Linked DNA regions of Oryctolagus cuniculus. Each later gene encodes a partner of the first gene's protein in a complex. Links are inferred from orthologs where the notes say so. Each region holds a gene or a part of one and is shown in the gene's direction. Other genes may lie near its edges.

The links. Proteins that work in one complex are often made in the same cells at the same time.
Region 2: GINS2 (region 1) and MCM7 share a complex: the UniProt entries of both Homo sapiens proteins name them as parts of the CMG helicase complex. The link is inferred for Oryctolagus cuniculus from reciprocal best matches to the Homo sapiens genes GINS2 and MCM7.

Annotation. Positions count from the first base shown.
Region 1 is NC_091449.1:66,848,939-66,854,673, reverse strand, and holds the start of GINS2 (DNA replication complex GINS protein PSF2), read left to right. Parts: upstream 1-2,222; 5' UTR 2,223-2,342; coding exon 2,343-2,432; intron 2,433-2,625; coding exon 2,626-2,740; intron 2,741-5,735. UniProt on the Homo sapiens protein: Required for correct functioning of the GINS complex, a complex that plays an essential role in the initiation of DNA replication, and progression of DNA replication forks.
Region 2 is NC_091450.1:42,362,448-42,365,428, reverse strand, and holds the end of MCM7 (DNA replication licensing factor MCM7), read left to right. Parts: intron 1-143; coding exon 144-227; intron 228-920; coding exon 921-1,089; intron 1,090-1,203; exon of another isoform or gene 1,204-1,264; intron 1,265-1,425; exon of another isoform or gene 1,426-1,487; intron 1,488-1,632; exon of another isoform or gene 1,633-1,692; intron 1,693-1,860; coding exon 1,861-1,970; intron 1,971-2,110; coding exon 2,111-2,312; 3' UTR 2,313-2,481; downstream 2,482-2,981. UniProt on the Homo sapiens protein: Acts as a component of the MCM2-7 complex (MCM complex) which is the replicative helicase essential for 'once per cell cycle' DNA replication initiation and elongation in eukaryotic cells.

The DNA of each region.
Region 1 (5,735 bases):
GGGCCCAAGGACTTGGGCCATCTTCTACTGCTTTCCCAGGCCACAGCAGAGAGCTGGACTGGAAGAGGGGCAGCTGGGACTCAAACCTGCGCCCATACGGGATGCCGGCATTGCAGGCAGTGGCTTTACCCAACACGCCACAGCGCCGGCCTCTAAATTTTTTTTAAAAGATTTTATTTACTTATTTGAGAGGCAGAGTTATAGATGGAGAGAGAGAGAGAGACAGGTCTTCATCTACTGGTTCAGTCCCCAAATGGCCCTAACAGCTAGAGGTGGGCTGATCCGAAGCCAGGAGCTTCTTCCATGTCTCCCATGTGGGTGCAGGGGCCCCAGCACTTGGGCCATCCTCCACTGCTTTCCCAGGCCACAGCAGAGAGCTGGATCAGAAGAAGAGCAGCCAGGACTCAAACCGGCGCCCAAATGGGTGCCAGCATCGCAGGCGGAGGCTTAGCCTGCTACACCATAGCGCCAGCGCCGGCCCACCTCTTCGGGAAGGAAATCCCTGGTTCTTCACGGCTCATGGAAATGGAATGAATATAACCCTCGTCTGGGAGAGCCCTCCCCTCCCCATGCACCACCTAGAACCCTGTTGGGCATCCGTCTCCGCCCCATTCCTTCACGTGTTCAGTCATGGGCGTCATGGGCTCGGGTCATCACCCAACACTGCTGGGCCCAGAGTCCAGCTGTGGCTCCTGGGAGCTGTCCGCCCTCAGACACTGGCCCGACGCTGGGCCCCGGCTTCCGTCCGCCTGCCTCGAGGGCCTCCTCACTCCCTGATGCTGCACCACCTGTGTGCCTTGTGCGGACTCCGTGCCCGGTGCTGCGGGGCGAGGCGCTTCCCGGCCTCCTGGGTGGGCGGGGCGAGGAGACCCTGTAAGGTGCACGCACACCCCCAGAGGAGGATTTCTCTTATGGGTGCACGGACCAGGAAGTGGAGCCCCCCGGCTTGGGAACCGACAACACTCCCCCGCCAATGAGAACTCAGACAACACGGGCAGGGGCTGAGGCTTCCCCTGCCCCCACAGCACCTGGACACGGAGGAGCCACCGAGGCTGAGCCGCTCACCGGCCGTCGCCACACCATCCGTGGGGCGTCTGTCCATGCACGACCCAGGCCACGTAACTCCGGGTGAAACCCCAGCTCTGCCAATTCACCTGGCGAGCAGGGGTTGTCCAGGCCGTGGGCGCGGCCGGAGCCTACCGATGGCCTTGTTCCAGTTTTCCTGCAAGGGCAGGTTTCTGGGGTCAGAGAGGAGAGCCCTGGCCTCGCTGGGGTGGAGCAGGTAACCCAGACGCACAGCCCTGGAATGCTGCTCGGGGCCTGGGGTCAGCCTGGGCGGCTGGGGTCCACGCCCGTGCCTGCTGCTTCACCTCGCAGGAACTGGCCGCGTCGGCCTCGCTCTGGCCCTGGCCACAGTGCAGCTTTCCGTCCTCAGTGCGCATGCCCGAGCCTGGGTTCCCCAGGAGCTGAGAATGGTCCAGCGATTCGGACACAGGTGGACTTGCAAACACTGCCCATTGCCCCACGCCCGGTATAGGGGCACCTTGTCCCACGAAGGGAGCTCAGAGGGGTCGTGGCACGCGCAGTGCTGTGTATTTTGGTGGAAAAGACGCTGGACAAGGGTCCTTCGCAGAGTTCGCGGAACATGGGCCCGACCACTAAGTGAGGCGTGGCTTTCAACACGGCACCCCAAAAAACTGGGTTTTTCACGTCACTTCCGCGGGCTTCTGGCAACAGCCTTACTTGCCCGGGGGTGCAAACTCGCCCCATTCAGGGGTCTCACCGGGGGTCCTCGCCAGCGCCCAAAGGCTGAGCCCTCTCATGGGCTGAGGAATCTGTATTTTTACAGACTTGGAACCAGTGAGGACCAGTTAAGCCGCCGTCTGCTGGGCTGGGGCACGCCGCGCCCCGGGGCTCGGCCCAGTACGCGTGTCTACTTGGGGGCCCGTGAGGAACGTCTGTGTAGACGCGGCCCAACCCCGCTCCGCAGCGCTCCACGCCAGGTGCGCCAAGTGCGCCAAGTGCGCCAAGTGCGCCAAGTGCGCCGCCCGGGGAAGGGCGAGGAGCGCCGCGAGCCCCGGGGCGGGGCGGGGCGGGGCGGGGCCGGCGTGCGGGGGCGGGGCCGGCGCGGCGTCGCCGGGCTCGCCAATCCGCAGGCTCGCAGCAAGCACGGTCCCGCCTCGCTGCGGAGAGCGCCGCGCTCCGATTGGCCGCCGCGGCTGTCTTCCGCCGGGGGCGGGCCCTGAGCCGTGGCGGGAAAGCGGCGAGGGCGGCCGTGTCTGCTGCCGGACGCTGAGGGGCAGGAGGACCCCGGGGGGCCTGGGCCGGCCGCTCGCGAGACCATGGACGCGGCCGAGGTGGAGTTTCTGGCCGAGAAGGAGCTGGTGACCATCATCCCGAACTTCAGCCTGGACAAGATCTACCTCATCGGGGTAGGGGCCCTCGGGCCCGCCGGGCTGTCCGCGGCGGGGCGCGGGGCGGGGCCGGCCGCCCGAGCTCGGGGTGGGGGCGTCCGGGGGCCGGGGAGCGAGCGGCTCGGGCTGCTTCGCGGGTCCCGGGCGGGAGAGGAGGGCCTGACCGTGGGAGGGGGCGGCTCTCCGCCCTGACGGCGCGTCGCCTCGGCAGGGGGACCTGGGGCCGTTCCACCCCGGCCTGCCCGTGGACGTGCCGCTGTGGCTGGCGCTGAACCTGAAGCAGAGACAGAAGTGCCGCCTGCTGGCCCCCGCCTGGATGGACGCGGGTAAGCGGCGCCCCGCGCCGGGGGCTCGTGCGGGCGGGTGAGCCCCTCGCCGCCGGCGTGTCCGACGCCCACAGCCCGCGGGGCCCCGCAGGTGCACTTGTTGGTCTCCGAGACGAGGCCGCTGGCGGGGCCCGGCGTGGGCGGGGAGGGAGGCCCCGCTGGGAGGCCCCGAGGCCCTGGGAGCTTTGCGCGACCCCGTGTGAGAGCGGGACCCCCGGCTCTGTGGGGACACAGCGGGCTAGCGCTCGCCCAGAGGACTTCGGGCTTTGTTCGTGGCGCGATGGGAGTGTTCTAAAATGGAGGTGACGAGTGCACGGCGCTCAGATACTAAAAACATTGTTTTGTCCACTTTTTCCCGCTTGAGACTTTTTTTGACAGGTAGAGTTAGAGCCAGAGAGAGAGAGAGAGAAAGGTCTCCCTTCCGTTGGTTCACCCTCCAATGGCTGCCGCGGCCAGTGCACCGCGCTGATCTGATGGCAGGAGCCAGGTACTTATCCTGGTCTCCCATGGGGTGCAGGGCCCAAGCACTTGGGCATCCTCCACTGCCCTCCCTGGCCACAGCAGAGAGCTGGCCTGGAAGAGGGGCAACCGGGACCGAATCCGGCGCCCCGACCGGGACTAGAACCCGGTGTGCCAGCGCCGCAGGCGGAGGGTTAGCCTAGTGAGCCGCGGCGCCGGCCCCATGACTTACTTGTTTGAAAGGCACAATGACACATCTTCTGTCTGCTGGCTCACTCCCCAAATGGCTGCAACAGTCAGGCTGGGCCAGGCCGAACCTGAAGCCAAGAAGTACATCCGGGTCTCACATGGGTGGCAGGGACCCAAGTACTTGGACCGTCTTCTCCCGCCTTCCCAGGCGCATTAGCGGGGAGCTGGATCAGAAGCAGAGCGGGCGAGACTCGGACCAGCTTTGGGACATGGGATGCTGGCGCGGCACTTGGCTTAACTCGCTGTGCCACAGCTCCGGCCCCGTGCGTCGCGTTAATGGTGCCTCAGGATAGCTGCTGGTAACAGAAAATGCATCGGTGCTGGCATTGTGTAGCGAGTGGAGCAGCTGCCTGCTGGCCGGCCGCCCCGGAATGCTCGTGTGAGTCCCGGCTGCTCCGCTTCAGATTCACCTCCCTGCCGATGGCCTGAGAGGAGCGGCAGAGATGGCCCAAGTGTTGGGGCCCCTGCCACCCATGCGGGAGACCCAGAGGAAGCTCCTGGCTGTGGCCTGGCCCAGCCCTGGCCATTGTGGCCATCTGGGGGGTGAACCAGCAGATGGACAATCTCTGTCTCTCCCCCTCTTCTAGCTTTCAAATCTTTAAATAAAATGCATCAGTCACAGGTTGCGTCTGGAGCCCTGGCAGTTCTGCGCCTCTAGCGGATGTGAGTGGCTCATTACAAAAGAAGATTTTATTTGTTGTTGGAGGGGTGCGAGCAGGCCTGTAGAACTCGGGGACCCCGCGTGGGTTGGGAACTGTGTTTCGTTTCATTTGAAAGGCGGTGATTTTCCTTCTGTGGTCCATACCCCGGGTGGCTGCAGCGGACGGGGCTGGCTCAGGCCAGAGCAGAAGCCCGGAACCCAGTCCAGCTCTCCAGCCCTGGGGCAGGGACCCCGCGGCTTCACGAGCTGCTGCCGCCTCACGTCAGCGGGATCAGGGCGTGTAGCCGGGGCTCGAACCCGCGCTCTGATAGGAGCTGCAGGTGTCCCGGGCAGCAGCCTAACTGCTGAGCCACGCGCCCGTGCCCACTAAGGATTTGATGGCCCCTCTTCACTGGGAGACTCCTGCGGGTCCCCTCCTACGGGCAAGGGCTCTTAGGGGGCCAGTCTGAGCTCAGGTTATGAGGGCGGCTTGGATGTGTCCCCCCCCCCCCTTCCTGGGCTTGATTAATTGGACTTTATTAACCCCCCAGCTGCGGCTGCGTCCTGCCCGGGCTCCTGTTTAAGGTCACCCCTGGCAGTCTGGGCTCCGGCAGATGCTAGGTGATGAGGGGCGGGAGCCTGGCTCCCGGAGGCCACAGCAGAGGCACGTGGGGCGTCCGCCTGAGCTTTTCACGTGGCAGGCCCCGCGTGGCGGTTCTGCCTCCCTGGACTTGAGTGGCTCGTCTCGGCTGTTATCACTCACCCCTGCCGCACGGGGCATCAGCTCCTCACTGCGCACCGTCGCGCTGTGCGGCTGTCCCACAGGTGGGCTCTGCTGTTGGTGGGTGTTTATTTTTGACTTGATCCAAGTCTTTGTGGATATGTGTTTTTTTTGTTTTGTTTTTTTGTTTTTGTTTTGAAAGGCAGAGTGCACAGTGAGACAGAAAGGTCTTCCTTTTTTTTTTTTTTTTCCGTTGGTTTATCCCCTAATGGCTGCTGTGGCTGGCGCACCACGCTGACCCAAAGCCAGGATCCAGGTACTTCTCCTGGTCTCCCATGGGGTGCAGGGCCCAAGCACTTGGGCCATCCTCCACTGCACTCCCGGGCCACAGCAGAGAGCTGGCCTGGAAGAGGGGCAACCGGGACTAGAACCCAGCGCCCATATGGGATGCCGGCGCTGCAGGCGGAGGATTAACCAAGTGAGCCACAGCGCCGGCCCTTTTAATTTTTTAAAACATTTATTATTTATTTGAAAGGCAGTTACAGGGAGCAGGGGAGCCTCTGTCCACTGACTCAATCCTCAGGTGGCCCAGCGGCTGGGGCTACGCCAGGCCAAACAAGCCAGGAGCCAGGACCTTCATCCGAGTCTGCTGCTGGCAGGGGCCCAGGCTCGTGGGCCGTCCTCGGCTGCTTTCCTGGGCACATCAGCAGGGAGCTGGATCAGACACGGGGCAGCCGGCACAGCACTTGAGCCGGCACTCCTGGGGGATGCCGCCATTGCGGGCAGCTGCTTAACCTGCTGTTCCTGACGGATGCCGCGGCCCTACCCGGTACCTACTGCGGCCCTACCTGGTACCTGCCGCGGCGGACCTGCTGGGGAGCTGTCAGACTGCCAAGCAGCCTCCAAAGCAGTTGAGCCAGCCTGAT
Region 2 (2,981 bases), on another chromosome or scaffold:
AGGGCCCCTGCCCAAGTGCTGCTGAGGGCTTCCTGGAGAGTTTGTTCTTCCATCTGTGAGGCAGCCACAGAGCCAAGAGGAATATTTAAAGCAGGACGTGGGGTGTGGCGCTCTAAAGAGCCTGCCTTCTTAACTCTTCCCAGGTTGGCCCAGCACATCACCTATGTGCACCAGCACAGCCGGCAGCCCCCCGCCCAATTCGAACCTTTGGACATGAAGCTTATGAGGTAAGAGGCTGCTGGGGGGGGGACAGGTGTACTTCAGGCAAGTGTGCAGCCTGTGACAGCGTCGTGGCTGTGTGGCTCCTGAAAGGCTTTCACAGAGCGGGTGGGTTGGCTTTTTAATACTCTGCCCACCCTCTCCCTGCTACCCGCTTCTGCCACGTGCCAGGCGTAAGAACACCCAGTCTGGGTTCCCCGAACCTGGCTAGCCAAGGACCGCATGTCTTTAGAATCTGCCTTTCTCGCCACCCCCACCATGGTCCTGCCTGCGGGGGTGGGCACAGCGTTCAGGCTGCGCTGGATCGCCCTCCAGCTCTTCTCCATGGCCCCAGTGTTCCCGGTGTGTGCTCAGGGTCTTGCTGTGCGCTCTATCTACTGAAATAGTATGTTTCTAGTCCCTTTAGCCACATCATGTTTACAAGAGGGTGGGTGATCTTTTGTGACAGTTGGATTTGTCTTAATTTCACAGAGGTCACTTTCCTGAAAAGTTGAAAATCATCTGAAACATGATGTGGAAATCCCTCAGCGATACTGGAGTCAAACACAGAGTCACCCACTCGTTTTTCTGCTTAAAAGTCCTTACTTCTGAGAGTTTTCTCATTAAATGGAGGAACCATTAGGCAGAAAACACCATGCCCATGTGTGTACCCCATTCCCCCTCTTCATGTTCTGCTTTCCCATGAACCTTTTCTCCCACAGACGCTACATAGCCATGTGCCGTGAGAAGCAGCCCACAGTGCCAGAGTCCCTGGCAGACTACATCACAGCAGCATACGTGGAGATGAGGCGAGAGGCCTGGGCCAGTAAGGATGCCACATACACTTCCGCCCGGACACTGCTGGCCATTCTCCGACTTTCCACTGCTCTGGTGAGTGCCTGGTTCCCCGTACTGCTGGAGGGTGTCCGTTTCCATCCCTACTGGCAATGAACCCTCACTTGGTCCTCTCGCTGCCGCCTCCTCCCACACCCGCCCTGCTGGGGCTAAAGTGCTGACAGTGCAGATAGTGGTCCTGTCCGTGCTACCGCACTGTGGGTACTTGCTGCTCCAGCAGGGCACGCACGTCCACGGAAGGAGAGGCCTTCTCTCCCCACTTCTGCAGCCTCACTGAAGCGGGGGAGGGTCCCTCTCTCTCCCCACCTCCTTGATCCTGTGCTATAAGCTTCCTTTCTGTCCTCACATCTCGGACCGTAGTCCCGGGGGCTCCAAAGTGCTGTTCGTGCAGGTAGTGTGATTACCTGACCTACTGCTGAGCTAGCACTTCCCGAGCCCCTGGGACACAGCCTCTCTGCCAACCGCCTGCTAGGCTGAGCTCCCCAGGCTGCATCTGTCGTGGTGGGGAGCCCACTGGAGTTCGGAAGGGTCTGGTCTCCCTCACAGGACAGCTGAACACCGGGACTGGCCAGTGTTGAGAGGCGGAGACTTGGGCAATTGCTGGACGCTGCCCTGGGCATTGCACTTGTCTCGGTCTGACAGTGCCGGCCCTACACTGCGGATGTGGGGGAGCAGGGGAGGGGTCCCTGCTCCTTTTGCGAGCAGACGGCACATAGGTTGTCCAGCCTTAAAGCTGGAACCAAGGGGGTTTCTCTGACTTTATTCCATTCTCCTCCTGTCCCCCTCTCTCCCCTACTTTCCCCTTAGGCACGTCTGAGAATGGTGGACACAGTGGAGAAGGAAGATGTGAATGAAGCCATAAGGCTCATGGAGATGTCCAAGGACTCACTTCTGGGCGACAAGGGGCAGACAGCCAGGTGAGTGGTTTAATGATGAGATTGGGTCACCTTGACCGTTGCAGGCTTCAGCATCCAGATGCATGAGCTGACCACTCTCCGTTGTCACTGTCAAGTGTCCTGGCTTGTGCCCTGATTCCATACCCTCGTGTTTCCTTCAGGACACAGAGGCCAGCAGATGTGATATTTGCCACTGTCCGCGAGTTGGTCTCGGGGGCCCGGAGCGTCCGGTTTTCTGAGGCAGAGCAGCGCTGCATATCCCGTGGCTTCACACCTGCCCAATTCCAAGCAGCTCTGGACGAGTATGAGGAGTTGAATGTCTGGCAGGTCAATGCTTCCCGGACACGGATCACTTTTGTCTGATTCCAACCTGCTTGAGACCTTGGGGACCCACTGTGCTCGCCGCTCACCTGCTGCCTTTGCAGGTGTAACCCAGCTCCGGAGGGGTGGGAGGAGCCCCTCTTCCTGTGCTGCACTTGCTTGTTTTGCTACTTTTGTTAATATAATAAAGTGTGTAGATTGCTGCCTTGTACCTTGGTCCTGACTTCTGTTAAACAGGTGTTATGGGGCTTTAAGAGTCCTCTCTCCTTCCCCTTTATGCTGGCCCTACCCCATCTCTGAGCTTTCTGAGAAAGTACCTTCGCTACCCACCAGCCACCACGAGATGCTGGGGAGGCAGTGAGGAGCAAGTTCCTATTTAACCTCAGCACCAGTGAGAACCATAGGCAAGACAGCGGTTCCCTTTCCTATTTCTTGAGGTGTATCCATCACAACAGCTCAGATAGCTCGATCCCCAGCTTCTGTAAAGCCCCTTCAAGGGGGCTGAGGAAAAGACCAGGAGTGGCATGCAGTGGTGTTACCAGGCACAGGTAAATCCCCGCTTTCTGGCCTTTCCCAAGTGAGTGCCAATAGCACCACTGTCAACAGGCAGGGGTGAGGCACTGGGTCAGTGCAGTAACCCAGGGGAAACCACTCCCTCTAATTCTCAGCACCCACAGGAGCCAGGCTTTTGAAATGTCCCTAATAAAAATG